Linked DNA regions of Lonchura striata. Each later gene encodes a partner of the first gene's protein in a complex. Links are inferred from orthologs where the notes say so. Each region holds a gene or a part of one and is shown in the gene's direction. Other genes may lie near its edges.

The links. Proteins that work in one complex are often made in the same cells at the same time.
Region 2: DNAJB13 (region 1) and LRRC23 share a complex: the UniProt entries of both Homo sapiens proteins name them as parts of the axonemal radial spoke complex. The link is inferred for Lonchura striata from reciprocal best matches to the Homo sapiens genes DNAJB13 and LRRC23.
Region 3: DNAJB13 (region 1) and DYDC1 share a complex: the UniProt entries of both Homo sapiens proteins name them as parts of the axonemal radial spoke complex. The link is inferred for Lonchura striata from reciprocal best matches to the Homo sapiens genes DNAJB13 and DYDC1.

What each region holds. Positions count from the first base shown.
Region 1 is NC_134604.1:18,499,589-18,507,664, forward strand, and holds the start of DNAJB13 (dnaJ homolog subfamily B member 13), read left to right. Parts: upstream 1-4,994; 5' UTR 4,995-5,043; coding exon 5,044-5,111; intron 5,112-5,541; coding exon 5,542-5,645; intron 5,646-5,873; coding exon 5,874-6,035; intron 6,036-6,154; coding exon of another isoform or gene 6,155-6,195; exon of another isoform or gene 6,196-6,398; intron 6,399-6,418; coding exon 6,419-6,576; intron 6,577-7,296; coding exon 7,297-7,410; intron 7,411-8,076. Other genes in the region: PAAF1 (proteasomal ATPase-associated factor 1), read left to right, coding at 196-294, 941-1,091, 2,116-2,310, 2,644-2,735, 3,017-3,132, 3,697-3,779, 4,024-4,106, 4,474-4,551. UniProt on the Homo sapiens protein: Functions as part of axonemal radial spoke complexes that play an important part in the motility of sperm and cilia.
Region 2 is NC_134604.1:29,748,046-29,755,001, forward strand, and holds the start of LRRC23 (leucine-rich repeat-containing protein 23), read left to right. Parts: upstream 1-3,914; 5' UTR 3,915-3,964; coding exon 3,965-4,045; intron 4,046-4,119; coding exon 4,120-4,232; intron 4,233-5,047; coding exon 5,048-5,301; intron 5,302-5,384; coding exon 5,385-5,515; intron 5,516-6,956. UniProt on the Homo sapiens protein: Essential for sperm motility and male fertility. Plays an important role in the proper assembly of the third radial spoke (RS3) head and the bridge structure between RS2 and RS3 in the sperm flagella.
Region 3 is NC_134609.1:7,916,955-7,924,883, forward strand, and holds the start of DYDC1 (DPY30 domain-containing protein 1), read left to right. Parts: upstream 1-4,887; 5' UTR 4,888-4,917; coding exon of another isoform or gene 4,918-5,067; intron 5,068-5,154; coding exon of another isoform or gene 5,155-5,421; exon of another isoform or gene 5,422-5,435; intron 5,436-7,641; 5' UTR 7,642-7,647; coding exon 7,648-7,794; intron 7,795-7,926; coding exon 7,927-7,929. Other genes in the region: EXOSC3 (exosome complex component RRP40), read right to left, coding at 2,607-2,808, 4,223-4,374, 4,918-5,067, 5,155-5,421. UniProt on the Homo sapiens protein: Functions as part of axonemal radial spoke complexes that play an important part in the motility of sperm and cilia. Plays a crucial role during acrosome biogenesis.

The sequences.
Region 1 (8,076 bases):
AAACCTGGAATGCAACTGCTTCTTCTTGTGCAGGTTTCTGCCTCAGCATTCCTTTTTTTTTTTCTGGCCTTGCAGAGTCACAGGCAGTGAATATGCTTAGCAGGTCTTCCCCTGTACAGAACTAGGCTCTTGAGCAGAAGTATTTATATACGGAATTATATAAAGCTAATTCTTGGTGCTTTTACCTTCCTGCAGATTACCTGCCTTGATATATCCAGTGGTGGAGGACTCGGAGTGTCTACCAGCACAGACGGGACCATGAAAATATGGCAGGCTGCAAATGGAGAAATAAGAGTAAGAACATCTGGCTTGGATATTTTTGTGTTGTCTGTGACATTCCTGAAGTCCTGAAGGCCATGGCTTTGGTCAGGCTGTCCACACCCTGTGAAGAATCCGGCTTTTTAATGAAAAGCTAATTGAAATTGGACATCTTGGAGGCTTTAAGTCAAATCTGCTGGAAAAGGTGGCCTCTCCCAAGGGGGATGTTGCTCAGAGAGGTACTCAGGAGTAAAAGGTCACTGACAACCCCTAACCTGCATGGTAAATGCACTGAATTTCTTATGAAAAAGAGAAGAGGGGAGGAAAAAAGATTTTGGTGCTGGATTAGGTACATCCTGGCTTGTGGCTTTCCCAGTAAAGAGGGAAGCTTCTTCTTGTGGAGCTTGACCTGTCAGCTTCTTGTTTGGCAGAGGATAAAGACATTTAACCTGTGTTTGTATCTTCTGCTATGTAATTAGCTGCTCAAATGGTAGAAGGAGGCCCAAAGTCAGCACTTTGCCCAAAATTCAGACCACTCCATTCCAGCAATGCAGACCCAGAGGATTTGAGTTTAATCCTTTGCCCACCTGAGAATGCCAAGATTTCCAGTGTCATAACTCAACAACTGCTCGGCACAAGGATGATGACAATGGAACTAGCACGTAGTTCTTTGTTTTTCCAGAGACTTTTGGAAGGCCATGTGTATGATGTGAATTGTTGCAGGTTTTTCCCATCTGGCCTCGTGGTTCTGAGTGGGGGAATGGATGCCCAGCTAAAGATCTGGTCAGCAGAAGATGCCAGCTGTGTAGTAACATTTAAAGGTCACAAAGGAGGTACAGAGCCCTTAAAATGCTTTATTTGCTGTGTGTGTACTTGCCTTGCACTCCAGGGTTGATGTCCAGTTGCCAGCCTGCTGCACTCTGTGTTTCATGTCTAGAATGTGGCATCAGATGGCCCAGATTCTCTCTTCCCTGAGCTGCCAATGGCTGTGTCCAGGCTCTGGTTTTCCCTGTCCCATGAGGTGCTGGGCTTGATTGAGAGGTTAATAAACTCCATGGCTGGCTGCCCTAAACTTGATTCACTCAAAAACCCATCTTGTGCTGAACCTGCCATTGTTTTTACATGATTTGTGGGTTGGAAGTTGTTCTTCAAGGCCCCTTCCTACCCAAGACATTCTATAATCTGTGGGCATTGAAAATGCTTTTACAGCCATGTACCCAACCCAAACCAGGGGGTGTGGCAGAACCTTGGTCAGAGTGATGCTGCCAGTCACTCTCCAGGTGACTTTAGTCACTGCTTATTCCTTCAGCTCAAACTGCTGCAGTCTGTTTGCTTGGCTTATCCTGTCCTTTGAGCTTCTGTAGGAAAAGTGGCATTTAAATCTTCTGACCACCTGGCTGTTCCCTGCTAAGAAAACCACTGTCATTTTTCAGATCCAAAATTTACAGCCCACAGTAAAATAAAGTAGTTAAGGGATCTTAGTGCCAGCAGACACTGCTCTTTGGATGTTGCTGTAGCTGGACAACAGGGATGATGCTTTTGGGATTATCCGGGGCGGGGGGGGGACATGGGAACGTTTAAAAGTGCCAAATTAGAAGTTCATTTTGCATGGAACCAGCTCGGGCTGAGGTGAGGTGTTGCTGATCATTTGATTGATAATATCTTCCCTTTGTGGTTCCACACTGTGGAGTTTTCTGGGAGCTGTTGCCTTCCACAGGCACCTTTTTCTAGAAGCACAACTTGTCTGTGTGCGACTGCTGTCACTGGGGACAGTAGTCTGGAGCCAGTAGTCGCGTTCAGCTCGGGAAATCGGGTGCTTTTCGTGTCAGTATGAACACAGTCTGTGGTTTCATGCAGGTGTTTTGGACACTGCCATTGTGGATCGGGGAAGGAATGTCCTGTCCTGCTCCAGGGATGGCACTGCCCGTCTCTGGGACTGTGGGAAGTCTGCGTGCCTGGGCATCATCGCTGACTGTGGCTCTCCTGTCAATGGCATTGCCGTGGGCACTGCTGACAACTCCCTGAACCTGGGCACACCCGAGAAACCTCCCAGTAAGGGCCTTTCCCTTAAAATACCCCTCATCTCCCTGTCCCAAATTGCTTAGGTTTGTCCCCAGTAATCCCAAGTGATGGGAAAGCTGCTCCATGCCCTTGTAGCACCATGGGAAGGGAACAGAGTGCTCCAATCCTGGGTGGAATTTAGCCCTATCAACCTTCATCATTACTGAGTGATGAAGACTGAGCTCTGCATGGTTGCTGGCCTTCCTGGTGTCTTGGGATCTGGAGGAATCTTGCCACAATTCAGCTGGGGCGATCCAAGCTGTTGGGTTCTGATCCCACCAAGGTTTGTTGTGCAGCTGGAATTAGCTGTTGTCCTTTTTCCAGGTGAACGTGAGGTGGGGACAGAAGGGAAAATCCTGCTGCTGGCTCGAGAGGACAAGAAGCTTCAAGGAGTGGGACTGCAGAGCAGGCAGCCAGTAAGGATCTGGGGCTGTCAGAGCACTGGGATGGGGAATTGAGCTATGTTAAACCTAAACTGGAGGAGAGGCCAAAGCCTGATGCAATAAAAGGATGCTCTCTCTCCTTCCTCCTGGACAGAATTTTATGTGAAGAGTAAGAATTGCTCAGGATTTAACCTGAGAACAGAGAAGACAGTATTTAAAATTAAACAGTGGCAGCTGCACTGTCTTCTGAATAAATGCTTCCCTCTTGTGGGTGTCCCACGTGCCTGACACTTGGTTTGTTCCCAAATCCTCAGGTGTTCCTCTTTATTGGATCTGATGCCTTCAACTGCTGCACATTCCTGTCAAGCACCTACATTCTGGCAGGGACTCAAGATGGGAACATCTACCAGCTGGATGTGAGAAACACAAAGTGAGTGAGTGCCTGGGACAAACAGCCAGTGTTTTGGTTGGAAAAGAGAGTCAGGCAGAGGGTGCTGCCAGGCGGTGCCACTTCCAAGGGATGCATCCCATTGCATCCTGAGCCTCTTGCATTATTTTGGTGTGCTGTGTGTATTGTTATATAAAATTATAAAATTATAAAAGTATAATCTGTGTGCGCATACGTGTAGATAAATGGGGCAGAAAAGTTCTTATCAATATTCCCCCCTCCCATACTGCCCATTTCTTTCCCTCATGTGGATCCTGACATTTACGCTGATCCTCATTCCAGCACAGGACTGGAACTGAGCTGTGGAGTTTTATTGCTGTTTCCTGCTAACTCAGTCCATAGGAAAAAATCATGGAATAGTTTGGGTTGGAAGGGGCCTTAAAGCTCATCCAGTGCCACCCCTTCCCATGGGTAGGGACACCTTCGACTAGCCCAAGCTGCTCCAAGCCCCATCCAGCCTGGGCTTGGACACTCCCAGGGATCCAGGGGCAGCCACAGCTGCTCTGAACAACAATCCTCATCCCTTGTTTCTCTTCCTTTTCCTAGTGCTCCAATCCAGGTGATCCACAGATCGGGAGCACCGGTGCTTTCCCTGCTCCCGTACCGAGATGGATTTATTGCCAGCCAAGGTAATTCCAGGGCTGTTTTTTGCCCCTAGAAATCCTATAATCGAGTCAAGGAGCTTTGTGCTCTTTGGGCATTGTCCTTTTGCCCCTTTGCTTTGGGATTTCCGGCCTCCATATCCCTCGTGACCCTCCACAACGGGGCCTCCAAGGCACGTCTCACACACCGGAGCCTTTTCCCGCTGGAGTTTCTGTCAGTAATGAAGAGCGTGGCTGGTTTCACTGATTGGCTGCTGTGCCTTCCTTGCAGGGGATGGCACCTGCTTCATTGTTCAGCAGGACCTGGATTATGTCCTGGATCTCACCGAGGCCGACTGCGACCCTGTGTACAAGGTGAGGAACGTGAGGTATCCCTGAGGAGAAGGTTGGCAGGGAAAGCTGATGCCAGGCAGGAGGCAGCTGCCTTTATCTCAGGCTTTTCACCTCAGCAGGTTCCCTCACACAGTTGACTTCTGAGTTTATCTTTATTTTTTCTACCTGAATAATCCTGATATTTTGCATAAACCAATCCTCTGCAGAATTCCCTGTCTTTATCTTGGTTGTGCAGGAGCTGGCTGGAGTGGTGGAGTTGGAGCAGGTCTGGTAGAGCTATGTTCCTATAAAAAATGTGGATAAAGAGTGCTGGGAGAATCCTGAGGGTAAAAGCAATGGTGCTGCCTGACCCATCTTGTTCCCTTTTTTTTTTTTTTCCCTTCTTCAGGTGGCTTCTTGGGAGAAGGAAATCTACACATGCTGCCGGGATGGGATAGTGAGGAGATACCAACTTTCTGACCTTTAAGTGTTTGAAGGAGCCAAATAAAGGAGAAGCGTCTGGGAAAGGCTCTTCCAAGCTGATTTTCCTGGGATGTGTGTGTTCAAGTTTGAGGCTGTTGTGATGACCAGGATCCATACACAGTGTTTTTGTAACAGGTCACATTTTGCTACTACACAAAAAGCTGGGATCAATTTTTAATTTAAAGAGGATCTTGTGTTGCAATGATGTTGTGGTTGCATTTCCAGTGCTGAAAATGTGCTGTTTGTAGTGGGGGGGAAATAAATAAATAAAGGGAGCGAGGGGGTGCAGTGAAAGTGATTGTCACAGTATGGAGTGAAATAAACCGCTGCTTTGATAGCACCTGTGTTAATGCATGAAGCCTTGGGGGTTTTTAAGAAGAAGAGGTGCGGGGTGAGGGGTGCGCGGGCCCGGCGGAGTTCGAAAGCGAGCGGGAGAACTACGCTTCCCGTGGTGCCTCGCGCGGCGCGGGGCGCGTCGCCATAGCCACGGGACGCCATGGGGCTGGACTACTACGCCGTGCTGGAGCTGGACCGCGGCGCCACCGCCGACGACATCCGGAAGGCGTGAGGGACCCCCGGCATCAGAGAGACACCCTGGGCGGGGGGCAGCGGGGTGGCGGCGGGACCGGGGCGGCCCCGTGCGTGGCTGGCCTTGGTTTCCCCCTGCCCCGCGGTGGGGCCTGCGAGGGGGAGAAGGGTCTGGGGGCAGCCCGGGCTGGGTGTGGGAATGGGGCCGGTGCGTCTGGAGAGACGGGACACAGGGAATGGCTTCCACTGCCAGAGGGCAGGGATGGGTGGCAGATTGGGAAGGAAATCATGGCTGTGGGGGTGGTGAGCCCTGGCACAGCTTCCCCAGAGAAGTGGCCGCCCCCATCCCTGGAAGTTGCTCCAAGCCCCGTTCAGCCTGGGATAGTGGAAGGTGTCCCTGCCTATGGCAGGGGGTGGGAAGGAGATGGACTTTGAAGTCCCCCTGAGCCCATCCTGTGCTCCTTAGCTATCGGAAGCTGGCCCTGAAGTACCACCCACTGAAATGCAAGGAGCCCTGGGGCCCGAAGAGGTTCCAGCTGCTGGCAGAGGCCTACGATGTGCTCAGCGACCGTAAGTGGGACTGTTCCCTTCCTTTGACTGCAGGGGCAGGAAGGGGCTGGGAATTCCTGCTCCCTGGCAGGAGCAGCTCCGTGACCCACAGCCCAGCTGAGAACTGGCACACCCATGTCTGTCTCCCCTGGAGAAGAGGGAACCCTCTTCTCCAGCCTCCACCCAGACAAATCCTGGATCTCAGGCTGGGGCTCTCCCTCATTTCCCAACATTTCCTTGTTCCCTAAGCTATGAAGAAAGGCATCTACGACAAATTTGGGGAAGAGGGGCTCAAAGGTGGCATCCCCTTGGAGTATGCGGGTGGCAACCGTTGGAGCGTCGGATACGTGTTCCACAACAACCCTGAAAAAGTCTTCAGGGAGTTCTTTGGAGGGGACAACCCCTTTGCAGGTAGGTTGGGAGACGTTGGGACTGGCTGAGGTCTTTCTGTGGCTGCCATGATTTCATGGCAGCTGCCAGCTCAGAACATCAAGCTTTCTGGGAATGCTTTCCTCCCCAACTTCTCTCAGAGCCCTCTGGTGCTTGGAGGAGAGATCCTGACTTCCCCTAGTCCTGGGTCAGGGAGAGACCTGGAGGTGCTGTTCAGGCTGTCAGCTTTCCCCATCTGCTCCTGTGACCCTTCCTGGGATTCCCATCATAAAGAGGGATTAGGGAGATGATGCTGCCATAAAGAAAGAACACACTTGGGGTGGTTCCAGCTGGGAGGTAACAAGCCTGGAGGAGCCCCCCAGCTCTGACCCCAGTGAGGACTGTCCCTCTGCTCCCTCCCACAGAGTTCTTTGCCGAGGATGGCTCAAAGGTGCTGCTACCCTTTGCAGGGCCCCGAGGCCGGGGGGCCGTGCGGCAGGACCCCCCCATCGTGCAGGATCTCTACGTGTCCCTCGAGGACCTGTACCAGGGCTGCACCAAGAAGATTAAGCTCTCCCGCAGGGTAGGGGCTGTGGGGCTGAAGGGGGTGGTTTTGGGGGCGAGCTCTGCCCTCACTGTGGGACCTTGGGGATTTGGGGATGGCCCTGCCCCAGGAGCTTGTCACAGGGAGGGATCAGAACCAAACCCAGGAGGAGCTGAACCAGTGTTCTTCCCCCCAGCTTGGCAAAGGGAATTCAGCATGGGAGCTGGTAGGAAGCAAGGGCTGATCTCGGAGATGAGTGAGAAGGAGCTCGTGTTCTGGGCTCCCAAAATTCCATTTTCACACTGCATTGTGTCTCCTTTTTGTGCCTTTGGTGACCTCTGTTCCCCCTCCTTGTTGTCCCAGTCTCCTGGACCCAGCCCTGAGTCTCTCCTGCTCTAGGACATGAGGAAACAGCCTCAAGCTGTGCCAGGGGAGGTTTAGGTTGGATATTAGGGAAAATTTCTGCGCTGAAAGGGTGGTCAGGCAGTGGAATAGGCTGCCTAGGGTAGTAGTGGTGTCCCCATTCCTGGAGGTATTTAAAGCTATGGGTTAGTGGTGGCCTGGCAATGCTGGGAGAACAACTGGACTCCATGATCTTGGACATCTTTTCTGACCTAAATGATCCCACAATTCTGTGATCTGATCCTGTTTGTACCCACAGCCACTTTGGTGTGGAGTACAAGCCAGGCTTACCCTTTCCTCTGGCGAGCAGAGTGCTGCTGACCCTCCCACTCTGTGCCCCTCCCTGTGCACGCCCAGGTGCTGAATGAGGACGGGCAGACCAGCACCATCAGGTGTAAGATCCTAACCATCCATGTGCAGCCGGGATGGCAGCGTGGCACCAGGATCACCTTTGAGAAGGAAGGAGACCAGGTGAGCACAGAACCACAGAATTATCAGGTTTGGAAGGGAGCCCTGGAGATCATCTCATCCAACACCCCTGCACAGGCAGGAACTCATCCAGGTGGGTTTGGGATGTCTCCAGAGAGGAGACTCCATGTTCCCCTTGGGCAGCTGTTCAGTCCTGTGCCCACTCCGTGGAAAAATTCTTCCATGAAGAAGTTCTGGTTTTCCACTGCTGAGGGCATTTGGCAGTGTGACCAACAGAGAGATTCAGCATTACTGTGCTCAGGAGCACTCTGAGGAGCCATCCCTGCCTGGATTTTCCTCAGAACAGATTACAGAAAAAATAATTGAAAGGGCTGGTTTTCTTCCTGGCAGAAACACAGTTCGGGATTGGCCCTTGGCTGGGCAGGCATCTTGGATAAAAGACTCCTTTTTCTCTTAAGGAAAGAAAATACCTTTCTCTTCTCTGTAGCCAAAACAGCAACAAAAGAGCAAGAATTTGTGTCAGTTTTCCCAGTATAATATAATTTTCAGGTTTCTAAGGACAGGTTTGATGTGGCCTGGGGCAACCTGGTCTCGTGGAAGGTGTCCCTACCCATGGCAGGGGGTGGAACTGGGTGAATTTTAATGTCCCTTCCAACCCAAACCGTCCTGGCATTCCATGATTCTGTGATCTTTTCCCCCCTCAATTAG
Region 2 (6,956 bases), about 11 Mb from region 1:
GGACCTTTTGTTGCACACATCTCAGTACGGAGGCCTCCCTTGAGGCTTTCCCCCTCCACAGTCATTGTTCTAGATGTTCTGCTAACCACCCCCACCACGTCAGAGTCCTGTCTGCAGGAGCCTGTCTCGGCAGAGTCTTGACAAGTCTCCACTCTGAGCTGAATCCTCAGTTTCCTGTTGACCTGTTCAGAGCTCACAGCCCACCTGGCCAGTATCTCTCCCTTTCCCTGCAGCCCTGCAGGGACAGGGAGCCGCTGGTGCTGCGGGGAGGAAAAAGGAACCACAGTCTCTTGCATCCTTCAGCTCCATCAGCAAGGAATCTCTCAGCTTAGACCCTTGTGAGATGTCTTACCTCACCTGTGTCCCGTACTGAACAATAAATGAAAAACAGAAAAAGCAAAGGTGTGTCCTGGATCTTACTTGGAAGCATCTCGGGGACAAGCAGCATAGAGAACTTACTGCTTTTTGAGGTGGCTGGTTGCAGAGAGGGTTTTGTGGGCTTTTCCCTGAGAGCCCACCATTACTCCAGTAGGCACTACATGGGTTCAACCTGCATCTTGCTTCTGGCATATAACAGCTCTTCTTTGGGCCTGTGGTGATTTTGTTATATCTGTGTATCTATTCCAGTAGCTGCTGGAGCACCTGGCTGTTCCACCAGTGAGCCAGTCTTCCCTGGCAGGCTCAGTAATGTGCTCATCCATGCTCTTTGCCTGTAAGCCTGGTAATTGACTTTGCTCACTCAATGTAGAGTGGAGCAGCTCAGTCTCTGCAGGGAAGGATTTTATTTAGGCCCTGTGTTGGGGCAGTACTTGCTGCTTGCTTTCAGCCATGTGCTGGTGGGTGAGAAAGCAAGACTTGATGTTACTTCCCAGCTAGCTGCTGGGGTTTTTTTGGTAGTACTGAGGGTGATGAAAAAAAAGTGCCTTACAAGGAGGAGCTTATTTGTGAGGCAGTACATCCTTGGGAGCCTATGGACAGTGTTCCAGCTGCTAGTGCTAGCATCACTTGAGGGATAAGGGGCCAAGAGCTGAGGAGCAGGGAGGAAAAAGCCTCTGGTGCTGGGGGCGGTCCTGCTGCCTAGCTGGATGGGAGGGATCTTCCTAGGATATCAGGTGGTCTGAGAAGGACGGGCTTGACAGCAGCAAGGAGATGGCAGCTCCCAGCTCTGTATGTGTGTGGAGTGAAATAGAAAGAAGGAGGATGGTTCAAAGACAAAAAAAAAAAAAAAAAAAAAAAAGGCAAACTGAAAACTATATAACCAGAGCACATGTTTCTGAGAGACTGCTGGGCCATGGCTGTAGGTTGGGGCTGTTGGGTCATACAGACCAGAGCAGCAATGTTGCAGCAGGGGCACACGGTGATCCTAAGGCTGCAGGGACTGGGTACAATCACTCAGGGCTGGGCCACCACCCGCTGCAGCTCTGCTATCTGCTCCTGTTCCTGCCCAGCCCTGCCCACAGTACAAGAGCCCAGGAGAGTGACCTACATAGAAGAAAACAGATGGGAGCTGGCATTGATCTTACTGCTTTGAGAGAATTCAGGGGCATGAAAACATTCATTTAATGAGGAATAAACTCATGGAAAATAATTTCTGTATCAGCAGGAGTGCCAGATCTTGTTTCTCTTTTTTTTTTGTCTGCTTCCTGGCAGGACTGCAGCTCTCTGGAGTGGAAATACTGCCAGATCCTCACAGCAAACTGTAGTGGTTGGATCTTAAACAGGTTGCTGTTGGAGAAAAATGCACTGTGCCAGATGTAACAGCCTGAGAGAGGCTGCAATGGCTCCGCATCCCCAGCCCCAAACAATAACCAGGCTGAGCCTGTATTCCCAGTAGGCACCACACACATGCTGGACTCAATGATCCTTGTGGGTATCCCTTTAAACTCAGAATATTCTGTGACTTTGAATATATTGTACTTAAACACAGCCATGGCTGGCCACACAGATCCATCCACACAGAGCACTCCCACACAGCACTGACAGCCTCATCCCACGCCCTGCTCCAGCTGAGCAGGACAGAAGTGCGCTAGTGAGCGTCTGTGTCCATCTGTGTATTTACAGAAGAATTTACACTCGTGTACAGCAGGTCTCCTTCCAGCAGCTGCCTCAGGCAGTGCCCAGGAGCTGCCCCTCACTCCCAACCTCTCCAGCCCCCAGCAGCAGCTCCCTGTGGTGTTCTGACCACGAGTTCCTCATGCAGGGCAAAGTGCAGAAGGAGTTTAATGAGAAGATCTGACAGGCTGCGCTGATCAGGTGCAGGACATGGACAAATCATCACAAACCATTTACACAGGACTGGCCCTTTTTATTCCTGTGTGCTGTATTTGTTTCTCTGTGACCTAGGTCACCCTGGCTCCTGCCCTAATCACTCCCTAACGAGTCCTGTGCAATCCCCAAATGCTCTTCCCCTGCGTCTCATCCTGTCCCACACCCCTGAAGACAGTGACACCCCCAATGTTAAAGGTGCTCTGGGGCTGAGGCTCCCCTGGGATGGCACTGGACAGGGTGTTCTTTTCTCTGAGTCCTTAATTTGGGTTTCCACCTGCCACTGTGCCCCTCGAAATGGGCCTTTACTGGGCTGATGGCTCCTGGGACGGGCCTGGAAGCAGCCTGGCAGGTGCTGCTTGGGCTCCCCCTCCTGCCATCACCGCCTGTGCTCCTGTGTGGGTGTGCAGGCCAGGTTTTAGTACATACCCTCCTTAATTGTTGGTATAATTAGGTTTGGGATATAGAATCTAAACAAAAATTTTCTAGTTTAAAGATTCGTGTTTCTGTAATTAGGGGATGTTTAGGGCAGGAGGCAAAGGCAGGAAAGGAAGTGTTCATATGCAGATTAATGCTTTACTCTGAGGGTGGTGAGGCACTGGAACAGGTTGCCCGGAGGAGTTGTGGCTGCCCCATCCTTGGAGGTGCTCAAGGCTGGGTTGCACAGAGCCCTCAGCAACCTGGTCTAGAGGGTGGCATCCCTGCCTGTGACAGAGGGATTGAGACGAGCGGATTTTTGAGGTTACTTCCAATCCGAACCAATCTGTGGTTGTGTGGTAATGAGCAGGGAGTGAACTCAGATTCACATTCACATGTGTAGCACAGGAGAAGGGGTCAGCACTGGGGAGTCTAGCAGGACAAGGCAGGACGCAGCTTGCTGTGCAGCCCGGAGTGCAGGGGTGCTTTGCAGGAAGGGCGATAGCTGATGGTTGTGTGAGCAGCTCTGCTTGAAGCAGCTTACCTAGCGCTAATGTTACCCAGGCACTGCAAAGGAGCAAAGTGCACTGAAGGGAAAGAGCCTTGGACTTTGTATGAACTGCACAACACTGCTGACCATCAGCTCTGAGCCGCATTCCTGGCTGGTAAACACCCGGTGCTGTTGGCATGGGCTGGGCACGGGCAGCCTCAACCCTTCCCAGCCCCGCAGCCTGGAGGACAGGGCTGGAGCAGTGCACCCCAAAAACCCCTTCCTGTCATCCACGTGCTCATAATCGGGAGGCTTCATGCAAAGCTCAAGACTAATTCTGCTCAACATGTTAATTAAACATTTACTAGAGGGTAAATTAAGCGTTAATTAGGCATTCACCGCCCGAGTGCCCACCACCCTGCCTGACTTCGAACGGGCCCCGTTTTGAGCTGGGCGCGCACAGAGATCCCTTCCCACAGGGGAAATCCTGCCGTTGTGTGGATAGGCGGCCAGCGGCAGATGTCGCCCAGGCGGCAGGCGGAGCGGGATCGAGCTCTCCGGGCCCGCGTTGCGGGCGGGACGCGCCCCGAGCTCTCCGGGCCCGCGGTGCGGGCGGGACGCGCCCCGAGCTCTCCGCGCCCGCGGTGCGGGCGGGACGCGCCCCGAGCTCTCCGGGCCCGCGGTGCGGGCGGGACGCGCCCCGAGCTCTCCGCGCCCGCGGCGCTGCGGGCGGCGGGCCCGCCCCCGTTCCCGGGGCAGCGGCCGCGCCCCGGCCAGCGCGGCCCGCCCGGCATGGAGGACGAGGAGCTGGAGGAGGAGGGGAAGGAGGAGCACGGGGAGGAGAAGGAGGAGGATGAGGAGAAGGAAGAAGAGGTGAGGAGGAGGCTTTCAGCACCGCCCGGCTGCGGCTGGGCCAGCGCTGGCCTTGTGCTCTCCTTGTCTCCCAGGAGCCGGTTCCCTGTCCCCTGACGGAGGAACACCTCAAGGAGGGCCTCTCTCTCCTCAGTAAGACCAGCAACGGGCTGGCCCACGCCTATGTGAAGTTTGAAGCCAAAGACAAGTGAGTGTGCAGTGCCTGACCCGGCAGAAGCCCTTTCCTTACTCCATGGCCATGGAGTGTTGTGCTGGACCGGCCGTGCGGGGTAGGAGCGTGTCCAGGCCCTGCTCTCCAGCCCCTGCATTCCAGTCTGGGCTTCAGCACAGCCTGTCCATCCTCAGCCCTGGGCACTGCCTCCAGACACACCTCTGGGAACACCAGTGTGTCCTAAGCCTGCCCATCGCTCTGGACTGCGCTCTCCTAGGGGGGCCTGCACAGAGTGACCTCCCTTACAGGCACTTTGAGAAATACCCATTCACATCTGGCCTCCTAATTGCTAACCTTCAAGACAGGCAGCTCTAAGTACTGTGCCACAACAGCCTTGGAACAGTTTGGAGCCTCAGCCTCCCCAGCACAGCCACCCAACTAAGGCCCCATTAAGACTGTTTCTTTCAGCAGCCCCATAGGGTATCTCAACCACTATTTTTTCCACTAGAAAAGTCCTTCCACTCAATCCTTTGTGTTGACACTATTGTCTAACAGACCCCTCCCCAAAACTTACCCATTTCTCTGCTCTGGTTGTGCCCTGTCCTGACAGATACAATTTAATTGGAATAAATACTCCCTCTGCCAAGAAAGCATGTCCAGTCTTACCATTCATCTTTGCTTACAGGCCTGTCCCTATCACCTGCCGTTTTCTTCCTTCTCTCAGCAGAGCTTTCTAGCAGCAGGGAAGTAGGAGAGGTGGTTGCCCTTCCTCCAGTAGTGGCAAGGAGAAATCCAAAAGATGGTAGTGGGGAAATATGAGAGATATTTTATTCACATTCACTCTCCCTCAGGGGCCTGACAGACATCAGCCTCCTCGAACGCTTCATTCACCTGCGGTATGTGGATTTGTCGAAGAACAAGCTGAAAGATTTGGCCCCACTGAGCAGCCTAACCCAGCTGCTTTGGCTGAAGGTGGATGAGAATCTGCTCACCAGTGCCAGCATGCAGGAGCTGCCCTACCTCCAAGTCATCAGCTTTGATCGCAACCGCATCATGGATTTTGAGGGCCTTACTCACCCCCTCCTAGCCAACCTCAGCCTGAAAGGTGATACGGTCTACCTGTCTTGTGGGGACACTCTCTTGGAAAGGTGGGATTAACTCCTTGTTTCTTCTTCCTCTGGCACTCAGAAAATAAAATCGAGACAGTGCAGGGCCTGAGTCACGACCAGTTGTTCAGCCTGGAGGTCCTGGAGCTTCGAGGAAACAAGATAAAGACCACAGCAGGGCTCGGCGTTTCCAAGCTCAAGAAGCTCTATCTGGTAAGGGATCAGCCATCCTGGGGAGTGGGACAGACAGAGCTGCTGCAGAGCCCAGCCCCTGCAGCCCAGATAGCACAAAGGGAGTGGCCATGAACCACAAATCACAGAGGAGTCGATGTTGGGGGCATCAGGTTCTTCCCTCACAGCCTCCTGCAGGAGGGCAGCTTTCCTTTCAGGCAGTGTTGGGCAAGCTTGTATTCCGTGTGCCCTGGGACCACTGGAGATCACTGGGCAAGCAACAGCTTTGTTCTTTGGGTGGCGAAGGGAAGAAATGCCTCTTTCTCCTCTCTGAGGCCCTAATCAAATACTGGTTTAAAGCCAGCACAATTATGTGATTTACACCTACACCCGCCAAAAAATAAATAGATTCAATATTGCAGTGAAACTAAGACAGGAGAAGCAGATTCTTAATATCATAAACAATTACTTCAAGGAAGCATTTACTCCTAGAGATGCAAGTGAAGAAAGTATGTATGGCTTAGCCCCATGGATCACACTGTGCTACAGCTTGCAAAGACTAAACAGATGTCTTGAGTCACTACCTCTTGAAAAGCAATTAAAGATGATAAAGGCTTTGAAAAACTATGTGGTTTCTTTTCATCAAGATTCCCTGGCAGAAAACACTGAAGAGATTGCTTGCTGAGATCGTCTGCAATTTTCTGAAGGGAAACTGGGATTTTATGACTGGAGGTGCTCCAAGAATGGATGAAGTGGATAAGTCACTAGATACAATACAGAATTTCAAAGCTTACCCAGTCACCTTAGTGAGTTATTGCAGGGAAGCAAACAGACCATCTCTGCTGAGGGAAGGTTCCTGGCATGACTGAGGGGTTTCTGAGCTGCCATGTGAAACAGGAAAATTGCAAGGGGTGATTGTTAAAACTAGAACAACTGACTCACAAGAATATTTGGGGCTTGAATTTATCTCCCATGTCTACCTGCTCATTAAATTATTTTGCAGGGAAATCTCCCCCAGTAATGCTTTGGTTTCTGTATAAAGACTGGTGTTATTTCAGCCTTGGATAAATGCAGCTGATGCCTCAAGGACAGGGTTCAAGATAAAGGGTTCAATTTAAGGAGCTAAACCACATTTGGTTAATGTATGACATAGCCACAGATTAAATTTCATAGTAAAAAGTGGTATGTGCTAGGAAGACTACAAGCTGGGTGTATGCCATGTGGCATTTGCATCATTTCTGAAGGTTATAGTAGGGCTGTGTTAGTTCCTGCCCATGGGGCAGCCGTGGTGGCAAAGGCTAACCTGAAAAAGGTGAAGTGTGCAGGAAGGGGAGAGGAGATCATGGTCAATGTATGGTAACTTTCCATAAGAAACAGTGGTATCACATCTGGGTGAAGAACTGGTGTCCAAGGGAAGGTGATGGTGCATCAGACAGAATGTTGTTTGATTTAGGGGAGAAAAATGGAACAACTCTGAAAAATA
Region 3 (7,929 bases), on another chromosome or scaffold:
CTTTCAGTTCTTGATTTAACTAAATTTGTATTTGGGTGATAAGTGAGTGACAATGGGACAGCATGATGTGTGGTATGAAATAGTGTGCTGGTTGTGTTGAGACCTTTCAAGGTTGCCATTTGCTGTGCTACACTACCAAGCCAGCATTTTTACTGGGATTGCTCATTTGCATCTTGCAGGTTAAACTTGGAGCACAGGCTTTTGGAAGGGAAAGAAGTTTGCTTAGGTAAAGTGTAGTGGTGCAGCTAATTCCATTTCAAGCCACAATTATTCAGGAAATTACCTGTCATTGCCTATTCCTTTGGTTTTACTATTACGATCCAAGAACAAATCACAAAAAAAAGTCAGCACCCTGAGATAATTTGGCAAATGCTTTTCTGCCTATGCCAGCTATTGTTCTAACAACAGACAACCTGCAGAGGCTCTGGTTAGCTGAAATTAAAAAAGCTCTAGAGAAGAACAGTTATTGAAAACCTGATTAATTTACAGCTTCTCATGTGTAAGAGAAGTAAGAGATAAGACTACAGACCCAAAAAGTTTATGGGATATGAATGAAAGCCACTTCACCTGGGAGATGACAGGTGAAAAAAGATGACTAAAGACCTACCAAGCCAGATGAGCAATGCCCTAGATGCTAAATAAGGAGATCAGTGAAATTCACTAAGAATTCTGAATTGTAGCCATTTGACTCACATGGAAACCATTAGAGTTGTGCTCTTGTTGAACCAGGGGAAGCCCTAGGTAAGCACGTTACAGATGACTCAGAGGAGCTGGCTCTGAACTGAAGCAATTTCTAAATGACAGAGATGCCAAAGACAACCCTATCATCAACCAGGTTGAGCTTTGGATTAATGAAATGCAGAATAAACAGGAAAAATTATGTTTCCACTTTGATTAAGATGGTATTTAGGCTCACCCTAATTAATTCATTTTTAGTAATTTCCTTTAACTATTGCTATTAACCATCCAGCTTATTAAGAACCACAGAATATCACAGATCTAAATGACTGCCTAACAGCTGCAAGAAGTTCATTCGGGACCTACAATCAAACTTTTCTCCCACAGGAAGAAGGCATCAGTAACCACCCTTCTGCTGCGCTCTCACCCCAGTCTCAGTTCTCAGTCCCTTTCTGCCCCGGCTAGCTCCCGATGGGGCGAGAAGGGCAAATGGAAGCACCCTCCGCTGAGCCCAGCAGGGCTTTGGAGAGTGCTCTGTGGGTCTGACAGGCGCAGCTGAATCCCACGGCGTGGCAAAGAAGAGAGTCTCTTGTTAGGGGCTGAATCCAAAGGTTATTGTAGCCCAGCAGGGCCCAACAACACCTGAACAACGCCAGCTAACAAGAGCCCCAGCAGGGCGCTTGCAACACCTTATATACTGAGAGGAGGGAATTGTTCAGCCAATGGGAGCACAAGGGGAGTGGCTCTTGTATAGACAGACACATATGGGAACCAATGAGGGATGGATATGGGCGGGGCCCCAGGCCCCTGTCCAATCACCAGGCAGCCAGGATGGAAGGTTCTGGATGTATGGGCGGGGACACCGAGTGACAGACAGGGAGCCTGGGAGGGGCCAAGGGAATGACTGACACTCGGGGGAGGATTGACACCCAGGGCAAGGCAGGAAAACAGGGACAAACCAAGCTGAATGTGGGGGTACACGGGAACGAACCATTACATTGTGAAATGATAATAAAACACGCAATAACACAACTCCACCCCCTTCCATTAATCCAGGGTTCTCTTCCTCTCTCGAAACAGTAGCAAATTACTCATACACTAAAATTCTGAGAGCTTACCCTTCCAAGACAGCATCTCCTCTATATGCATCAAGGGATTGTTACACAAAGAAGCCAAACATAGTTTTTTTTCAGAAATGCTGGTTTTGTTAAATATTACCAAAGCTCTAAGGCATCTTTATGGTATAAGAAAACAATGTCTTAAATCAAAAAACACATGATTACTATTGTGACATCCTTATCACTATGTCTTTAATAATAACAGGCAGGTCATCACTTAGGGAAAGTGACAGTGTCCCTGTGAACATATTTTTGGTCTTATCTGATCATTTGCCTTAACCACCCTGTGACTGCTTTATGCTACACCCTGCAATTATTTTCTAGTATTCTCTACCTGCATTTCTAATCCCAAACGTAATAATATATTAAATAATTACTAAATGTCACTGTATAAATATAGCACCCAACCAAAATTAATGACCCATGGGATACTTTTTGCTATCCAAAGTAAACATGGATGGTTTGAAATTTTAATAACCATAAAAACAATTACATGCTGCTCACAAAATGACCAGAAGATCTAGGTAGTTAAGCTTCAAAATTCAGAGCTAATGAAAGCTAATGAAAGCTTCCAAAGACCCATTAGTCAGAAAATTCATGAACATAAACAGGGCTTGATAACCACAAAAGCGAGTCAAAACAAACTCCTTAAACAACACAGAATCAAGCTGAGTGGATAAAGAAGGGAAATGAAGACCAACCAAAATCGAGTACTTCATTTAAAAAAAGGCTTTTAATATATAAATCTGAATACAAAAATAACCAAAACACCCTACAGTCATCACAAACAATCCTCAAGGTTTTCTCTTATCAGTTCCCTGACAGTTTGGCAAGCGCTTGTTTTCTCTGTTGTGCAGTCATATACTCACAGGCTTCCAAAATATTTACTATAATTAAAGTCTGTTGCACTGTTTTAGCTTTTACCCATATTCTTCCATTCATTCCCAGCACCAGCTCAAATGGGTACAATTGTGACAACTCTTGAATTATTTCACATTTGGGAGCCAAGAGCCTGTGAACAAGACAAAAAAAAAGTCAGAGGAAGGAGTGATCATGCTTACAGAGACCACATTATTATTGACCAGTAGCTCCAGCAGTACTGCTATTATGGGAGCCATTTAAGAAACACTGAAAGATTATAAAGTTCTATATACATCCAACATAGCAATACAGTATCAGATTTTCAAGGCTCCTGGCATATAAAATGCATGCACCTAAAAAAATAAAGCCATTATAAATTTACTTTTGTCATTAGATTCAGAAGCAATCCCTGATAAGTTTAAAGTTAATTGATACTTTTACACACAATTCTATGAGCAAATAAATCTAAAAGTACACAATTTGACCAAATGACATTTTTGATGTGCTATTTATTTGACACCCCAGAGGTGTCTTTCAAAACAGGACTTCCCTTCTATTTCAGGAAACAGTATTAACAGCAATAAATAGCCTACTTCATTTTTATTAGATGACAACATACTAAATCCTGTAATGCGTCTAGAATTAAATCAAGATTAGACAAGTATTCACAAAAAATAAAAGCATACCAGTATTTAGCAGTTTACTTGTAATATGCTGTTATTTTTTTTACTTGTATACAGACAAAACTTGGAAAACAGAATGGCTGCAAGAAGCTTTTGTATCAGTTCATGCTGACTTCTAATAGGACATATAAATCAGACAATGCCAGGTATGAAAAAGCTGCTCTGCAGTGCCAGATTGCTTATCCAAAGAATGACAAAACAAACAAAAAACTCCACCCAAAAAGCAAAAACAAATTTTGACTATTGTTTATCCATGTAATCTGGTATACTTTAACAGTCACAAAAAAAAAAGTCATGTATTTACATCAGCATAAGCAACTCCAAAGTTCACAATACATTTAAAAGCTTATGAAACAGTTCCTGGATTTATGTGTCAGCCTTAAACTAAAATCCAACATTTTTAAAATCTGTATTTCAATGTTATTTATTTTTATTTGGAAGTCAGAAAATAATGTGTACTGATGTGCAAAGATCCCTTTAATCAGCTGTCAGCCAAACATACACCCTCTATTACCCCCACGAAACAGAACAAGGACAATAAGCATTGCCAAGTTTTAAACTCCAAGGTAATATGTACATAGCTGAAACACTATCCTGAATGTTTGACTACCCCAAGACACTACTTTTATTTTCCATACTGCCTTGGCATCCACATCACTATTTTTAAACAGGTGATGTAACACCATACAAAAGAGCTTCTAAGTCTCTTAAAAGAAAAAATAAACTTTTCTTCTAGATCAATCCATACTCTATTCAGTAAATCTGGTTTCAACGCACTACAAGAATCACACAGTCTGATTTACCAAACTGCCCACACTACTCAGAAGAAACAGCTGTGGTAATTTATACGTGAGAGTGACTAATTACATTTTTAGTACTTACTTTCTTATTAGACCTAAGGAAACTTTAAAGAGGAAGCCGTCTTGTCCAATTATTCCCATGCCACTTGATTTTCCACTGCTGTCTATACACACCATCTCTGGTTCCATGTCTTTATTTGCTACAACAAACTGACCATAAATAAGATCTCCCACCTAAACAAAACAGTGTCAAAGAACAAAAGTACAGGATTTTATCTCTTATAATCATTTAGCAGGACAACAATAAAAAATATCACACCGATTTTGTTTTTCTTTACAGTTTTACCTTTTACATTCTGGTAATGGCATTTCATGGGAGTGCAGAAACTATGGCATGCATGTGCAACACAACCATTCATAACAGCGCTGTTAAAAGAACCCACACAACTAATATTTTCTACCAGCATCACGTTTTAAAACCCTAACATCGGAGCGCCCTTTCGGAGGCACCTTATGAACTGCATCTGCTCCTGGCAAACCAACACATGAGAGTGAAGCACCCAGCCAGCTGAGAGAGAACAAACCACGCTAGTTACGGTCCTAAAAAACCCCAGAGAGGCCGCGGCCAGTGGTGCAAAACGCTCTGAGGAGGACCAAGGCGAAACCATTAGAACCAGACCTCCCCTAACTTCCCCTAAGAAAAGCCACTGGAACGCGACACGGGCGCCACCAAAGGACGCAGCTGAAGCGTCACCGGCAGCGAAGCAGGGCACCCACCTGCACGTTCGGCCTGTTCCTCTTCGTGGCACCTTCGAAGGCCAGGTAGGACAGGGACGCGGGCTCGCTGCCGCCCACGTCCAGCCGGAACACGTCCCCCGCTTTGGCCGTCACGATCCCGATGACGTGGTCGCCCTTCACCGGCACGTACTGCAGCGGGCGAGGGGGACAGAGGGTCAGGGGAGCGCGGGCTAACACACAGACACACAGACACACACACAGACACACGGACCCTACCCGCTTCTGCTGCGAGTCCACCCAGAAGGCGCCGCCGCCCGCGGGCCGGTGCCGCAGCAGCCCGCACTTGGTCACCAGCAGCCCGGCCCCGCTGCGCCGCAGCCCCGGCCCGCACAGCAGCCGCCCCTGCGGCGCCGTGCCCGCGCTCAGCCGCAGCCGCTCGCCCTCCGCGTCCTCGTCGTAGTGCGCGGGCAGCAGCAGCAGGTCCCCGGGCAGCACCACCTGCCCCACCAGCGCCTCGGCCGGCGCGCCGCGCTCCGCCGCCATGGCCGCGCCTCGGGCCGGGGCGGCGGCTGCGCCCTGCGCCCCGCGCCCTGCGCGGAGCGGCCGCGGCGCGCCAGCGACACCGCCCGGCCGGTCCCCGAGCTGCAGCCGGCCCCGCGCCGCTCACGGCGCCTCCGCCAGCCGCCTGCCTTTCCTGCGGGAAGCAGCCCGCCTTCCAGTTCTGCCGGGGGGCGGCCAAGGTGATGTTCATTTCGCACTTACGCGTCGGAATTAATAAACACACGGAGCTAATTCTTCCAGCTGCAGTTACAAGGGTTTTGAATACCCGATTAGAAGTTGACAGCAAAACAAACAGCTGGTAAATATGAGGTGACCGTCAGCCGATGAGTTTGGCAGGGAGCAAAAAAGATCACATCAGTTGTGAAGGGAAACTGCTCACAGACAGATGGTATTAAAACAGTTGGAAAGGATCACAATGGGTCATCTGGCCCATCCTCCCTGCTTTAAGCAGGGTCATCCTAGAGCACGTTGCACAGAACTGCATCTAGACAGTTTTCAGTATCTCTAGATAGAGTCCACAACCTCTCTGGGCAATCCGTTCCAGTGTGTGGTCACCTGCACAAAGTAAAGTTCTGCCTCCTGTTTAAATGGAGCTTCCTATGCATCAGTTTCTGCCCATTCCTTGGTGTCCTAGTGGTTGGCACCACGAAGCAGAGCTTGGCACCTCCCCTTTAGATATTTATACATATTAATAAGGTCCTCTATCAAGCATCTCTTCTCAAGGCTGAGCAGGCTCAGCTCTCTCTTTCCTTATAAGAGATGCCCAAGTCTCTTAATGATCTTCATAGCTCTCTGCTGGACCCACTCCAGATCTTCATGTCTCTCTGTCCCTGCGGAGCCCAGAACTGGACACAGCACTCCAGGCAGAACCTCAGCAGACGGGCAGATTCACTTCCCTTGACATGCTAGCAGTGCTTTTCCTAATGCACCCGGGGGTACCATTGGCCTTCTTGGCAACAAGGGCACTGCTGCAAGACCTTGTTGTCCATCAGATCCTCCTCCACAGAGCTGCTCCCCAGCAGATTACCCCCAGCACTTGGGATTATTCCTCCCCACGTGCAATACCCTGCATTTGCCATAGCTGAATTTCAGTTTCTTCTCTGCTCATTCAACTCCATTTTTTTCAAGTCTCTCTCAAGGGCCACAAAACCCTCTGAGGTCTCGGCCTCTCCTCCCGGTTTTGTGCCCTCGGGGACCTTTCCGGCCAGGCCCTTCACCCCTCCGTCCGCTCCTGCGGGCGGCGCTGGGGCCGCTGCGCTGCCGCCGCTGTTGCGGAGCAACCCCGCGCGCTGGTAGGAGCGGAGCGGGGCCGGGCCGGGCCGGGGGCTGCAGCCCCGGCGCTCCGGGAGCTGCTGTCCGAGGGAAGGCGGGCGGCTACAGCAGAGCGGAGCAGGCAGCACCGGCTGCCGGGGACTGGCGGAGTGTGAGGGAGGCGGGTAACGGGCTCCGCGCCCCGGGGCAGGGCTGAGGAGCCCGGGCAGGGGGGCGTGGGCGGCGGCTCCGGGTTACGAGGGTGGGCACACTAAGGCCACCTGGAGCCCCCGTGAACGCGGAGGATGGGCTGTAGTCACTGTGTCAATTCATTGCCTGGGCTCTCTGCCCTGGCACGTTTTCAGCCCCCTTGGCAGCAAAGGACGGCTCCTGTGTACTTAGACTGGGCTGGTGGAGTGTGTGCAGAGATCTGTGCCTTTCGTAACTGTAGAGCGTTCAGACCCTCGCCTTGCACACATCTCTTAAAGATAGCTTTGACAGTTCAAACTAAAATTACCCTTAATTGTCCTCAGAGTTAGTTGCCTGTTCTCTGCATAGAAGTTTTTAATGTCCTGTTGTGCTTTTCAATGTTGTTTTTTTTGTTTTGTTTTGGTTTGGTTTGGTTTTTTTGTTTTGTTTTGTTTTTTTTTGTTTTTTGTTATCATGCAGCCCTAGAATTAGCAGTGTGTTTCCAAGTACTTTATGAATTATACATGTCCAAACAATAAGGTGGGGTTTAAGCATTTTTTTTTTCTGCAGTGATTGTTATAACTGAGCTGTCACTGGCGCCTTTAAGAGCTAAATTACTGCTAAATAACTTTCTTGTATAAATTGAAGGCTTAGTAAAAAGTATTGTCATAATCAGTGTTTGGCACCTGAAGCAAGAGTTCTTAGAGCCCCTAACTTAATTCTAACATTGATGTCTAATGTCTGTCTGTTTATTGTCAGTAGATTTGGATGGAGTCTCAGTATCTGAAGCAATGCCTGGGAAATTGTTTGAAGAAGGGACTGGCAGAGGTTGTAGAGCATCGGCCAGCAGATCCAATAGAGTATCTTGCACACTGGATTTACAATTACAGAAGAAACTTAGATGAAGAAAAAAAGGTAGATCTAACTTAGGCAAAAAAAAAAAAAAAAAAAAAAAGAAAAAAAAAAAGATTGCTACAATATAGTTGATGCTATTTAATATATCTTTCATTTTTATGTTTAATTGATTCTGTGTTACATCTGAAATAGAGA